Linked DNA regions of Mus musculus: region 2 is reported to be linked to region 1. The links are microRNA targets in miRTarBase. Many come from high-throughput screens and were not tested one by one. Region 1 holds a microRNA gene; the other region holds the end of a gene's coding sequence.
What was found. The annotated mature microRNA mmu-miR-3965 reads UGCUUAUCAGCCUGAUGUU and lies in region 1 at 2,011-2,029, shown strand. An mRNA with a match to its seed (bases 2 to 7 or 8) in the 3' UTR can be bound and repressed. Matches are read on the target gene's strand: a 7mer-m8 pairs with bases 2 to 8, a 7mer-A1 pairs with bases 2 to 7 and ends in A, and an 8mer does both.

Region 2: miRTarBase lists Vps26a as a target of mmu-miR-3965. Seed matches in the 3' UTR shown: 8mer at 5,512-5,519.

What each region holds. Positions count from the first base shown.
Region 1 is chr5:134,324,484-134,331,748 of GRCm38, forward strand. Mir3965 (microRNA 3965) reads left to right here and starts at 1,971; the gene lies at 1,971-2,039.
Region 2 is chr10:62,450,987-62,457,986 of GRCm38, forward strand. Vps26a (VPS26 retromer complex component A) reads right to left here. Exons shown (of 9, transcript NM_133672.3): 9 at 3,857-5,872. The coding sequence ends at 5,759. It overlaps 4930507D05Rik (RIKEN cDNA 4930507D05 gene), which reads left to right. Exons shown (of 1, transcript NR_027926.1): 1 at 1-367. It also overlaps a transcript of Supv3l1 not described here. Among named protein-coding and RNA genes, the nearest start is that of Supv3l1, 4.7 kb to the left of the region's middle.

The sequences.
Region 1 (7,265 bases):
TGTTTGTGCTGTGTTTTTAATCAGTATCTTTTTAAGTTGTCCAGGCTGAGCCAGTAAGTTAACTCAGTGAGTAACGGCACCTGCCATGGAGTCTGGTGACTTGCGTTCGGTGCCAGGACCCACATGGTGGACAGAGAGAACCAAACAGTGTACACTGCTGGCTGGGAACTCAGCATCATCAGCATCTGCATCTCAAATGCTGGATTACAGACACACAGCATCACGCCTGGTGTGAGCCGAGCCTTGATGGAAACCTTGCAACTAGCCATTAAAGAAGAAGGGGAGAGGGGCTGGAGAGATGGCTCAGCGGGTAAGAACACTGACTGCTCTTCCAAGAGTCCTGAGTTCAATTCCCAGCAACCACATAGTGGCTCACAACCATCTGTAATGGGATCTCATGCCCTCTTCTGGTGTGTCTAAAGACAGCTACAGTGTACTCATATACATAAAATAAAGAAAAAGGGGAGTCTGGAAGGCAATGATTTTATGCAAGAATAACCTGTGTGTGTGTGTTTCTGGGGTTCCCTGGCAATCTACAGGTTTAGGGACTCCATTCAAAAAAAAAAAAAAAAAAAGTGAACAACTTTAATCCCAGCACTCTGGAGGCAGAGGCAGGTGGATCTCACTGAATTCAAGGCCAACCGGGTCTACAGAGTGAGCCCAGAACAACCATGGCTACACAGAGAAACCCTGTTTCAAAACAAAAACAACAACAGCAGTAATAATAATGTGGTGGACTGGCAGGCTGGCTCAGCAGGTAAAGCCTCCTGCTACAAAAGCCCTGGCAAGCAGAGGGCGATTCCCAGGACCTACATAAAGGTGGAAAGAGAGAATTAATTCCATGAAGTTGTCTTTGACCTCCACAAGCATGCCCATATCATGTACACACACACACACACACACACCAAAAATTAAACAATTTTTTTGTTTTGTTTTGTTTTGAGACAGTGAGACAGGGTTTCTCTGTGTAGCTCTGGCTGTCCTGGAACTCTCACTCTATAGATCAATTGGCTTTGAACTCAGAGATCTGCCTGTCTCTGCCTCCTGTGCTTGTACTAGTACTAGAGGTACATCCCACCACCACCAGGCAACAAATATATATATATTGTTTTTTCGAGACAGGGTTTCTCTGTATCACCCTGGCTGTCCTGGAAATCACTCTGTAGACCAGGCTGGCCTTGAACTCAGAAATCTGCCTGCCTCTGCCTCCCCAGTGCTGGGATTAAAGGCGTGTGTCACCATGCCCGGCGACAAATAAATTTTAAGGTGAAGCTGAGTATGGTGGTGCACACCTTTAATCCCAGCACTCAGGAGGCAGAACCAAGCCAGTTTCTGTGAGTTTGAGACCAGCCTGATCTACACAGCTAGTTCCAGGCAGTCCAGGGTTACCTAGTAAGACCCCGTCTCAAAAACAAAACAAAACAAAAATTGTGAAGATGCAATTAAGGAACATACCTGTCACCAGCCTTTGGCTTCCACACAAAGTGGAAGAGTGTACATGTGTCCACATGCATATGCCACACGCATGCATGTACACACATAGAAGAGCCTATACGGTCGGGGAAGTGCCACAGCGCACAGGAAACAGAGGAAAGAAACCCCACGTGCTAGATATAGCTATTATTCATAGTCACCATGAATTCTCCCAGATCTAGGAGCAGGTGCGGGTCAGTCTAGAGAAGGAGCCTGGCCTGGATCACAATGGTCCTTCAGTGCCAGCTAAGAAGTTTGGGGCAGACACGCTGGTCGCTGGTCGGGATGCCTGCCGTTCCAGCCTCTACTTCCAAACAGGATTACATCACCCACTCAGAGAGGCCCAACCAAGCTGCCTTTTTTTTTTTTTTTTTTTCCCTAGATAAGGTTTCTGTCTTAGTGTGTTTTCTATTGCTGTGATAAAGATCATGACCAAAAGCTACCAGGGAGGAGGGGTTTTGTTTGGCTTGCACATTCTGGCCACAGTTCATCGTGGAGGGAAGTCAGAGAGCTGCAGCTGAGTGCACAGAAGGCTGCTGCTTATCAGCCTGATGTTCAAGGCTTGCTCAGGCGGCTTTGGTTTCTGATCTTTTCCTTTCCTTTCCTTTCTCTTTCTCTTCTTGTTGCTGAGACAGGGTTTCTCTGTGTAGCTCTGGCTGTTCTGGAACTCACTTTGTAGAATAGGCTGGCCTCAAACTTAGAGATCTTCCTGCTTCTGTCTCCTGAGTGCTGGGATTAAAGGTGTGCACCACTATACCTGTCTTCAACCTGCTTTCTTTCTTGCTTTCTTCCTTTCTTTCTTCCTTTCTTCCTTTTTTCTAAAGAATTATTTATTTTGTGTATATGAGTACACTGTCACTGTCTTCAGAAGTTACCAGATCTCATTACAGATTGCTGTGAGCCACCATGTGGTTGCTGGGAATTGAACTCAGGACCTCTAAAAGATCAGTCAGAGCTTTCAACTGCTGTGCCATCTCTCCAGCCCCAACCTACTTTCTTATACCACCCAAGACCATCTGATTAGAGGTGGCACTGCCCACAGGAGCTGGGCACTCCCACATCCATCATTTGTAATTAAGAAAATGCCCTGCATACAGGTCAATCCAGTAAAGGCAAATCCAGATTCCAAAACTTGGATTCCTTCTTTTCAGATGTCTTATGTTTGTGTCAAGTTGGCAAAAAACTGATTAGCGAGATTCAGCTGTGTAGCCCTGGCTGGTCTGGAACTTGCTATGTAGACCAGGATAACCTCAAACTCGTAGAGATCTGCCTGTCTCTACCTTCCTGTCTCTAGTGCTGTTTTTGGTTTTGGTTTTTTGAGACAGGGTTTCTCTGTGTAGCCCTGGATGTCCTGGAACTCACTCTGTAGACCAGATTGATCTCAAATCCAGAGATCTCCCTGTATCTGTCACCCAAGTACGAGTATTAAAAGTATGTCTCAGGCTGGTGAGATGGCTCAGTGGGTAAGAGCACCCGACTGCTCTTTCAAAGGTCCTGAGTTCAAATCCCAGAAACCACATGGTGGCTCACAACCATCTGTAACGAGATCTGACGCCCTCTTCTGGAGTGTCTGAAGAATAGCTACAGTGTACTTACATATAATAAATAAATATTTTATGTAAGTTATTATATGTAAGTACACTGTAGCTGTCTTCAGACACACCAGAAGAGGGAGTCAGATCTTGTCACCAGCCCTATTTTTTTTAAAAAAGTATGTCTCACTACACACACACTTATCTGGGTTTGACCTTTAAAACTGGCAAACTTGGGCTGGTGAGATGGCTCAGTGGGTTAGAGCACCCGACTGCTCTTCCGATGGTCCAGAGTTCAAATCCCAGCAACCACATGGTGGCTCACAACCATCCGTAACAAGATCTGATTCCCTCTTCTGGAGTGTCTGAAGACAGCTACAGTGTACTTACATATAATAAATAAATAAATCTTAAAAAAAAAAAAAAGATTTACTTATTTACTTTATAAAAAAAATAAAATAAAAATAAAAAAAAAACTGGCAAACTTGAGGCAGGTTACCAGCTCTTGTGGTTGTTGCTGAGGACCAAGTTAGTTTCCAGCCCTCGCACGGAGGACCATAAACATCTGTATTGCCCACTCCAGGGGTTTGGAATCCTCTTCTGGATCTGTGGGCACCAGACATGCATGATGCGGTAGCACCCATGCACACCTGCAGACAAAACATGCATACACATAAAATAAAAATAAGTAAATCTGCCGGGCAATGGTCACATATGCCTTTAATCCTAGCCCTCAGGAGGCAGAGGCAGGTGGATCTCTGAGTTTGAGGCCAGCCTGGTCTACAGAGTGAGTTCCAAGACAGCCAGGGCTACACAGAGAAACCCTGTTTTGAAACGCACTCCCCACAATCCCCTGTGGAGGGGCTGGTGCTGTGACTCAAGAACAGAGCATTTGGAGGCAGAGGCAGGAGGATTTCTGAGTTTGAGGTCAGCCTGGTCTACAAAGTGAGTTCCAGGACAGCCAGGGCTACACAGAGAAACCCTGTTTCAAACAAACAAACAAACAAACAAACAAACAAACAAACAGAACAGAGCATTTGCCCCACATGTGCAAGGCTCTGGGTTTTTCCCCAGCCTGGTGTGTGTGTGTGTGTGTGTGTGTGTGTGTGTGTGTGTGTGTGTATGTGATAGAGAGAGAGAAAGACAGAGATAGAGACATACAGACAGACAGGTCAGTACAGATACATGTACTATTATTAATCTTCCCTCCCAAGGAAGCAACCACAATTTTTAAGGGTGGGAGGAGGCACCTGAGGGCCTCCTGGCTTCAGTTGTCTATGCATTCCGACTGTTCTATCATTATCACGGAATATCGGAGGAAGACTTATGCTGCCTTATCATCTCAGAACGCTCAGTCTGTTGTCAGCCAGCTCCACGGTTCCTGCCCCTGGTGAGGCAGAGGGGCTCACTTTACGGCCACCAGGAAGCAGAAATAAATGGCAGGAAGAGACCTGTGAGAAATACAATCCCCAGTGGTTAAGAGCACTTCCAGAGGACCTGAGTTCAATTCCAAACACGCCCATGGCACCTCACAACTGTCTGGGGCTCCAGTTATAGGGTGTCTGACACCTTCACACAGATGTCCATGAGTCCAAGAGAAAAAACAATGAACATGAAATAAAACTAAACTTAAAAAAAACCTTACAAGCCGGGCGTGGTGGCCCATGCCTTTAATCCCAGCACTCGGGAGGCAGAGGCAGGCGGATTTCTGAGTTTGAGGCCAGCCTGGTCTACAGAGTGAGTTCCAGGACAGCCAGGGCTACACAGAGAAACCCTGTCTCAAAAAACCAAACCAAACCAAACCAAACCAAACCAAACAAACAAACAAACAAACCTTACAAAAATAAATAAATAAATAAACAGTCCCTAAGGACAAACGGGTTCAGTGACCTACTTCCTCCGAGTAGCCTTGCCTTCTCCTTTGTCTTTGACCTAGAACTGACCCTATTCTTTGCCTGTGCCTAGAATAGTATAATAGCAGAGGAATTGAAGTTGCTGCTCAGCAGCCTTGCTCCATTTATACAGCCCAGGGTCTGCTCCCCAGGGAACAGGCCTGCCCACTGTTAAAAGTGGCTCCTCCTTTGTGGTGGCTGGTGTATGAATGAATCGCACAAGGCCAGAGGCACAGGAAGGTGGATCTCTGTGAGTTCCATTGTGAAAGTCCTAAGACCCTTTGATATAGCCAAGATAATCCCCTACAGGCATGCCCAGAGACTCGACTGCCAGATGATTTTAAATATTTTCCAGGTAACTCTAGTTGATTATTGGCAATAGTCATGACAGGGTCTCATGTAGCCCAGCCTATCCTCAAACTTGCTATGTAACTCTGGCTGACTTTGAATTTCTGACCCTCTTGCCTCTGTACCTCCTAGTGTTAGGGTTAGTGTTAGGCTTGCTCCGCCACACCAGGTTTATCCAGTGCTGGTACTCATACCCAGGCCTAAGCACTCCACCGACTGAGCCACATCTCTAGCCCTGGCTTATCGGATCAAAATATCCAGATCAATTGCATAGCAAGGAAGGAAAGGAGAGGTGGAGAAGATTAGCTAGCCTGTTCTCCCACCTCAAGAAGGCTGGTGGTGGTGGCTCACACCTTTGATCACTCAGGAGGCAGAGGCAGGCAGATCTCTGAATTCGAGGTCAGCATGGCCTACAGAGTGAGTTTCAGGATGGCCACAGCTACACAGAGAAACCCAGTCTTGAAAAATAAAAACAAACAAAAAGAATGCTATAAAAATCAGGGACAGTCCCTAAAGAAGTCTCAGATAAGGCTTCATTTGCATATGTCACTTAGCAACCCAGGAAGCCCTGGTTGCTGACTTTACACTCCCCATGCTGGCCTCACACCAGCAGGGCAGCCAGCCATGGTTTCTACCTGGGAGCTAAGTACACAGCGCAGAAGAGTGTAGCTGGCTCTTTATGACTGAAGTCATAGAGGATTGCCTAGCCTAGCTCATAATATCACAATATCACAATATCTTGGGTTCCATTCTCAGCACCGTGATAGAGGTAGCTCGGTGCAGGATGATTTAAACATTCAAAGTCATCCTGAGCCACAAGTCCAAGGCTAGCCTGGGCTACAGGAAATCGTGTCTGAGAAGTAAAAATAAGAGCTATGGAGATGGGTCAGTGAGTAAAGGTGCTTGCAGCCAAGACGGACAGCTTAAGTTCAATCCCTGGGACCCACAAATAGAAGGAGAGACGCACACCCTTCCAGCTGTCCCTCTCAGCCCTGCAGAAGCGCTATGGTATGTGCGTGCACATACATATACACAAAATAAATAAACAAAAAATAGCGAGAGGGAGAGAGGAGGAGGAAGAAATGGAAAGATTGTGAAAAGCAGAGAAAAGAGATCCCGTATTGGAAAGTATAGACAAAAGAACCAGTGCCCCCCAATCCACTTTTGGGGTACCAACATGAGCTTTAGATTAAACAGAAAGAATTGAGCTGGTGTGAGAGCTACATGTAATTAAGTAGTTATTATTGTATCAGCTGTCGTTCTGCGCGGCTTCTGAAGATGTCTTTATTGCTTGAGGGGTCAAGTCTGTTCCCATGAGGTGAGTACTTCTCCTTGGGTATGATCTCATCATGGAGTGATCTCTCAGAGAGGTTTGCTGTTCCCTGGACCAAAGACAGCTGGGGGTTCAGGGTAATAGGAACATCAGTTGCCTTTTGAGGTTCTGGACAGAGATGCTCTAAGAGTCGAGAGTAGTCAGGCATGGAGGGGCACCACCATCAGGAAGGATTGATGCAAACTGGAGACCAGCCTGAGCTACATAGGAAAACCTTGAGGACCGGGCAGTGATGGTAGCAGAGACTTTAATCCCAGCACTTGAGAGACAGAGGCAGGTGGATCTCTGTGAACTCAAGGCCAGCCTGGTCTACAGAGTGAGTTCCAGGATAGCCAAGGCTACACAGAGAAACCCTGTCCTGAAAAACAAACAAACAAATGAACACCCTGATTCAGAGAGAATAAAATAAAGCGGGCAGTAAGATCCTTCAGTCACTCACTCATCTCTGTGACTTTCGTTTTGAAGAGGAGTAAGATTCCCACTGTGGCTATTATTATTGTTGTTATTGTTGTTGTTGTTGTTGTTACTAAGACTACTGTTGTTATTATTACAGTTACTTATTTAGTTTGTGTGGGCAAACACATGCCACAGCTTGTCTGTGTGGAGGTCAGAGAACACCTTGAAAGAGATGGTTCTCCTCTTCCACCATAGGGTTCCTGGGAACTAAGCTCAGATCCTACAGGGTTG
Region 2 (7,000 bases), not on the chromosome of region 1:
GATTCTTAAGAGTCCTGAGCAAGGGGAAAGGTTGTGTGTCAGACAAGAGCTGGCTTTTTTTTCCCCATGTAAGGTCATGACTCAAGTGCCTGGTGATCATTCAGGAGAAGGGCTGTGGCTACCTGGAACTCGGTTTCGGCACCATCGGTGGGGGTGGGGCTGTAGCGAGCTGGAGCCTAACACCTGGGTTAAGACTTTGTCCTTGGGCTGGAGAGATGATGGTTCCGTGGTTAAGAGCACTAGCTGCTCTTGTAGAGACTTGGGCTCCCAACTGTCTGTATCTTCTGTACCCCCTCACACAGACATGCAGTCAAAGCACCAATGTATATAAAATTTAAAAATTAAATTAAAAAAAATGTTGAGCTGGAGTGTTGGCTCAGTGTGTTAAGAGCACTTGTTGAAAGAACGCAGGTTTGATTCCCACATGGAGGCTCACCACATCCTCAAGTTCCCGCACCTGTAGTGCAGGCACACATGAAGACAAAACACTCATACACATAAAATAATCTAAAAGTAAAAAATAAAAAACAAAAATTGTCAGCCCCTAGTCCCGAGATAAAGTCCACCCGCCTTCAGCTCCTCAGACTCCACTACCTGTTTTTGTAACCAGGCTCCATTTACCTCATCCACTAGAACCCTGATGAAGCAGTCACGCCCATATTCCAGTACTCAGATTCTACCTTCAAGTTCATCATCCAGGCCTCCAGCTAGGACAGCGCATCCATCCTAAACCCTCTGCTTCTCATTAGACCACCCCAAGTCTGCTTCCAGACTCACTACAGGGAAGAACCCTCCCCAGACCTTTTCTTGCCTGTCCCTCCACAAAGTTGTTCCTTCTTTGCAGATAAAGCGTTGAATGTGCAAGGGAGGGGAGCAGAGGCCAAGGTGAACAGCGATGATCTTTGTTAATGCTCAACCATCAACCTTTACAAATGAAAACCTCAGAACCTTTCTGTTGTGTCTGGCCAGTAGATCACAAACTGGGTTCTAGCCTGGAAAGGCATTTTGGAAACCTGGAAGAGAAGAGGGGCTGGGCTGCGCGAGATAAGGAAGGAACCAAGACAAAGCTCTCTGCTCAAGATTCAATTTTTACTATTTCGGCACTCAGTTATAAAGCAGGGGAAGGGGGCCCAATTCCCGCCAAATAATCTCGGGGTCCAGTAGCAGGGTGATCACGTGTGTGGCTCCAAACAGCAAAGCCGCACGTTCCAGCAGTGAGCGTGGCAGAACGATTGAGCGGGAAGCTCCACCCCTGAGCAAGCAGGTTTCAGGCTGGGGGAGGGGAGACTACACCTTTCTTTTCTTACTTTCTCTTCTTTTTGTTTAGGTTTTCTGTTGTTTTGTTTTGTTTTTTGAGACAGGGTTTCACTTTTGTAGCCCTGGCTGTCCTGGAACTCACTTTGTAGATCAGGCTGGCTTCAAACTCACAAAGATCCCATCTGCCTCTGCCTCCCAAGTGCTAGGATTAAAGGCATGCATCACCACATCTTGGTGAACTCGTTTTCTGAAGACTCTCAGGATCTGATAAATCACCTTAGTTCTGATAGGTTATTTCTCTGCCGGTGAAATGAGCCAAATCAATCCAGATTATAGTAAAGGCAGGTTTATTGGAAAGCTGTTCTTTGGCGATTTCACTGTCCACAGGGACTAAGGCCAGGGAGTCACCATTGAGGGGTGGATAGAGAAAGGGCTTTCAGAGAGTGGGTGAAGGGGAGGAGAAGTATACAGAGTTCTCTTGTTGTCTGTCTCAAGGATAGGAGAGCTGGTCTTTGACTTAGTGACAACCAGAAGGCAACCTGGGGTATATCACATTGCTTTTCAGGGAGCAACCCATTACCCTCCTCACCTGTTACATGAGCAGTATTAATCCCTTCCCTGGGATAATACTGACAGTTCCAGTAAGTTTTATCCTCTGTCTTTTGTCTATAAGCCTACTCTCCCTCCTTTCTTCCTAGAACAAGAGTTCTCCAGCCATATAAGCACGTACATTCCTGGGCCTATCTCCTCCTCCCTGTGCTCAACTCAAAGAGGCTCGTTTTCAGTATTGCCTTCTCCAGTCTGGTCCCTTTGACCCTTTGATTCCCAGAGTTAGGTAAACTTTTCTCCATAATGGGGACCAACTATTCCAACCAAGTCTCCCCTATGATGCAGTATTAAATCTCCCCACAGTTTTAGAGAAAATTACAGTGTTACCCTCATTAAGGAAAAACTGTTTTTGTGAGGTCAGTTGGCCTTCATGTAAAGTAAGCTGGCCAGCAGCAGGCTCCCTGGACCCCACCACTGCCCAAGCCATCTGGCTAAAGGTCAGAGGGACCCCAGAACACCTCAATCTGTTTCTTTATATTGACCATTGGCTAACCATTGTACAAAATCCCCATGCCTGGCTCAGAATCTGTGCCCTCCAACACTCTCCCACTCTCCTAGTCTGGAGTGTACACCCCCCCCCCCCCTTTGGAACCCTTTGTTAGTTCACCCCCCTTGGAAACAAGACTCTCCCTCTGCCTTACAATTCTCACCCTACTCCAGGCTCCCCCACCCCTCCCCAATTAACTCTACATCCCTCCTCTTCCTCTTTTCTTTCTCTTTGTCCACCTTCCCCAATGTTGAACTTAAAAAAAATGAGATCAAAAAAAAAAAAAAAAAAAGAAGAAGAAGAAGCCAAGTGATGGTAGTATATACCTTTGACTCAAGAGTATGTCTCAAGTTTCAGGCCAACCTGGTCTACAAAGAGTTCTAGACAACCCGAGTCTAAATGCTGAGACCATGTCTCAAACAAAATAAAACAAAACAAAAACTCCAACCAAGAAAACAAACAAAAAACTGAGGTTCCCAGGACAACCTTACTAGAATTTGAGTGGAGCAAGGTGTATGGAATTGGACATAACTAGGGTGAAGATGTATTCTGCAATGTAGAATCTGGCCATGATGTAAGAAGCCAAGTACTAAGATTTTCAGAACATCCAAGTATTTAAAAATAGAAAGGTACCTGTTTTCCTCACTATGCATAAGGGTGAAAAACTTTAAATCTGTAAAGTCTCTGCAGAGGTATATGCCACTGGAGGATGCTTTCATAAATGATCAGCAGTTAACCCGACATAAACAAACCAGGAGGTAGAGGGGCGGATTAGAGTTAGCCTCTGTTGACAGAGTGCTTGCTCAGCATGCTGCTTAAGATGCTCAAAGCCTTGGGTCATGAAGTCTAAGCACCATGTAAACCAGGCATGGTGGTGCAAGCCTATAATACCAACACAGGGCGGCAGAGACAGAGGACCACAAGTTACAGATCATCTTGGTGTGTAAGTTCAAAGCTAGCCTGGACTACAAAACCCTATTTTATTATTGTTTTCTTAAATGTATTTTAAGGTCATCCTCAGCTATATAGTGAATTTGAGATCAGTCCTGGCTGTAGAGACCAACCTAAACAAAACAAGAAATGTGATTACTGTCTCTTCAATCCTGGATAATCTTGTTTTTATGTTAATGCCCCAATATATGAAAAACAATCTTTTTTTAGATGGGGGTCTCGTTACACAGCTCTAGCTAAGCTGGAACTCACTATGTAGACCAGGCTGACCCTGAGGTAGTCCTCCTACCTCTGTAACACACATGCTGGGACTATACGTATGCAGCACAACTCCCATTAGAGTCTGATTTTACCGTCTAGGTGAGATCTAGGTGTGACCGTTTTTCTAAAGCTCCTGAAGTGATCCTGGCATGTGACTAAGATTGAGATTATCTATGACACTATATTCTGCAGGGGGCAAACAGATTTAGCCTATAGTTAACTTTTTTATTTATCAAGTTTTGACTGAAATCCCCAAATTTTAAGTTGGTTATGCATCAGAAAAGAATCAAATGGAATGAATAAGCATTTTATATGAGTTTTAAGCAAATTAATTAAAAGCATTATATAACTACTTAAAACTGAAGCTGGAGAACCCAGAGATGGTTCAGTGGTCAACAGCACTGGCTACCTTGGTTCTGTTCCCAGCACCCCCATGGCCGCTCACAAACACCTGTAATTTCAGCTCCAAGAGATCTAATGCTCTCTTCTGCCCTCCTTGGGCACTGCCCACATGCCTGCACAGACATACTTGCAGCCAAAACAGCAATACATATAAAATAAATAAAACCTAAAAAAACAAAGCAAAACAAAACCTTAACAAACCTGAAGCTAGTACTACTAATAAAAGTTCACTGTTGTGACTGTCTTCCTAACCACTGGGCAATGCTGTAATGACAAGATTTGAGAATAAAGTCATTTTATTTAAACTACAAACTTAAGTTTCTGTTTCAAATTATTTATTTTATATATCATGGTTGCACAACTTGAGGCTGGTTAAATACAATTGTTTTTCAAAATCTCCTTGAATATTTCCTAGATTATACATGCAAGTGACCATGAAAATATTTGGCATTTTGAAACTTTGAGACTCTGAACAGGCACTTACATGAAGGAGAACATGGCCGTCCTTAGAAACCCACATTGACAATAGCTGCTCCAGGACGTGGTATGTGAACCTTTGGCCAGGGCTGGTTGCTGGCCATTTTATCAAAGTGCCATCATAGTAAAAAATAGGTTTAAGGAAACATAAGTTGGGCTGTTGAGCTTCCTAGAAAGTAAAGTTAACTGACAAACCTGTACTGAGGTGTATCAAGGAACACTGGTACAGAAACCAACAAGCCCTGAGTGAGAGTGGCCCCCACACAGGCTTCCTCCTGCCCCATACGCCTCAGTTGTGTGTCTGTGCTCAGCTGACTGCAGCCTTCTTTTCAGAGAATGGTATGAATTTAGTGTTTTTTGTTCTGTTTGGTTCGGGTTTTTTTAAATAGACTACGTGAAGTCAAGTTTGAACTAGCCAATATTCCAGTTAACAAGAAATTGTCCGGCTATGGACACTTCGGCTGGTTCTCCCAAGCTCTCTCATTCCTAGGTGACGATTTGCATACACATGGAAAGTAGTCCTTAAATTAAAAAATATATACATGTTTCAAAGTCTTTATGGAAAAAAAATGATACAGGTTTAACAAGTTCTAAAATGCCAATGTGTCAACTCCACACTGCAGAACCTACATGATGATACAGAAAGTCATAGCAAACGTGGTCAATAAGGGGCAAGAGGGCCACGATGACAAACCATGTCATCCCTGGGGTGACAATCTTTCATATACCTCAGAGATCCCAAAGATTAAAATTCAGGAGGCTGTGAATGGTAGACCCAGAAGTGCCTACCATGTAACACCAGGTTGGTTTCTGATCCACATGTAAAAATAAACACAATTCTCAAAAATACTGAGGAGCCATGCCTTAAAACTTTGTAGGACATAAGGGCTGCTCAGGTTTTTCTCATTTTACTTGAACAAAAATATTTAATTTTTTGCACATAGAGAATAAGAGGTAATCATTAGCATGAAAACAGAGAAAAGGATTTTCAACATTATGCATAAAGAAAGCAAAATTACAAATACCAGTCTACTCACATGAAAATCCTTAATGTTTATGCTTCTGAGTGCTTATCAGTGTGCAGTAAAAAAGAAAACAAAAAAGGCAGCTTAGGAATTCTCCAGTGTTTCCAAGAAGCACTTTTTAAAATGTATATACACAAAACCTTTAATCATACTGTAAAATAAACGCAGCACTCTAGGATAAGGAAGACTAGCAGACGTGGAGTTGGGATGTCCGCACGCTGCGACTGTCGTCAGCCAGCTGAGCTGCTCTCTTGGCCCGGTTCTTGCACTTGCTGCTCTGCCCACCTGCTTACATCTCAGGCTGCTCCGCAGAGGCCTGCGAGTCTGGAGATTCAAACCGCTGGTGAAAGTTCGTCCTCTGTTTTCTCAGTTTCTCGGGTGCTTTTCTCCACAGGATGATCTCCTAGAGGAAATGCAAAACCGAAATGGAGTTCTCTGCTATGTCTTAGATGGTCACCATGGAAATACTGGCTGCAACTTCAATTTTAAGCTGTAAAACAATCCCAAATGCTCTGTACGAAAGCCCCCAACTTTCCTGGGTGACCCTTCCCCTCTCTCCGTACTCACAGTCAACCACCACAAATCCTAGCTGTATTGCTTTAGAAAATCCCCCAATCTGCTGTGGCCCCACTGCTTTCATCCAAGGTCAAGCCCTGAGTCTGCTTCCTGGGACACAGCTTTTGTTGTAAAACCATTTCTAATTCACCCTTCACTTCACTGCCACGTTCCTTGTATTAATTTGTACATTGTGTATGTGTGTGTGTGTGTGTGTGGCTACAGGACAACTTCTGGAGCTGGTTCTCCCCTCACCTGGCAGGCTCTGGGGGATGAGCTCAGGGCTTCAGCGTGGGCAGCAAGCACCTCTGCCCAGTGGGCCATCTCATTGGACCCCACACTGCTTGTTTTATAAACGCTGCTTATATTGAGCTTTGATAGTTCCCATTAGCTCCAGGATGAATTTCCAAATATATGAGGCCTGCCATACATTGCTCACCATTCCTTACACTAATTTACATATACCATTTCCCTTCCCTCCCTAAATGCCTCTCCCAAACTGAGTTATTCTCTGCTCTGATGCATGCCAAATGAACTGCCTACCTCTTTCCCTACACCACTTCCCAGTCACTATGGAGCTGTCTACCCATGATAGCTGAATCCCACCTTTCTCCTCTTCTAAATTCCTGCTTCAAGTCATAACTGACACGGATTCTTGTTTGTTTAAATTTATTTGTGTGTGTGTGTGTGTGTGTGTGTGTGTATGAATGCATGTATGTGTGTTGTGTGTGTATCTGGCTCCTACAGTAGACATGTGAGCACAGCCTGGGTACTAGGAGCCAAACCTGGGTTCTCTGCAAGCCCAAGTGCTCTTAACTGATGAACCACTTCTCCAGGCCCTTATTAGTCCTTATGAGACCAGGTCTTGCTATGTAGCCCAGACTAGTCTCAAACTCTGTGATCCTCATGCCTCATGGTGGCTCATGCCTAGCTAGCACAAAGTAATTTCTAACTTGGCTCTGGAACACTTACTTGG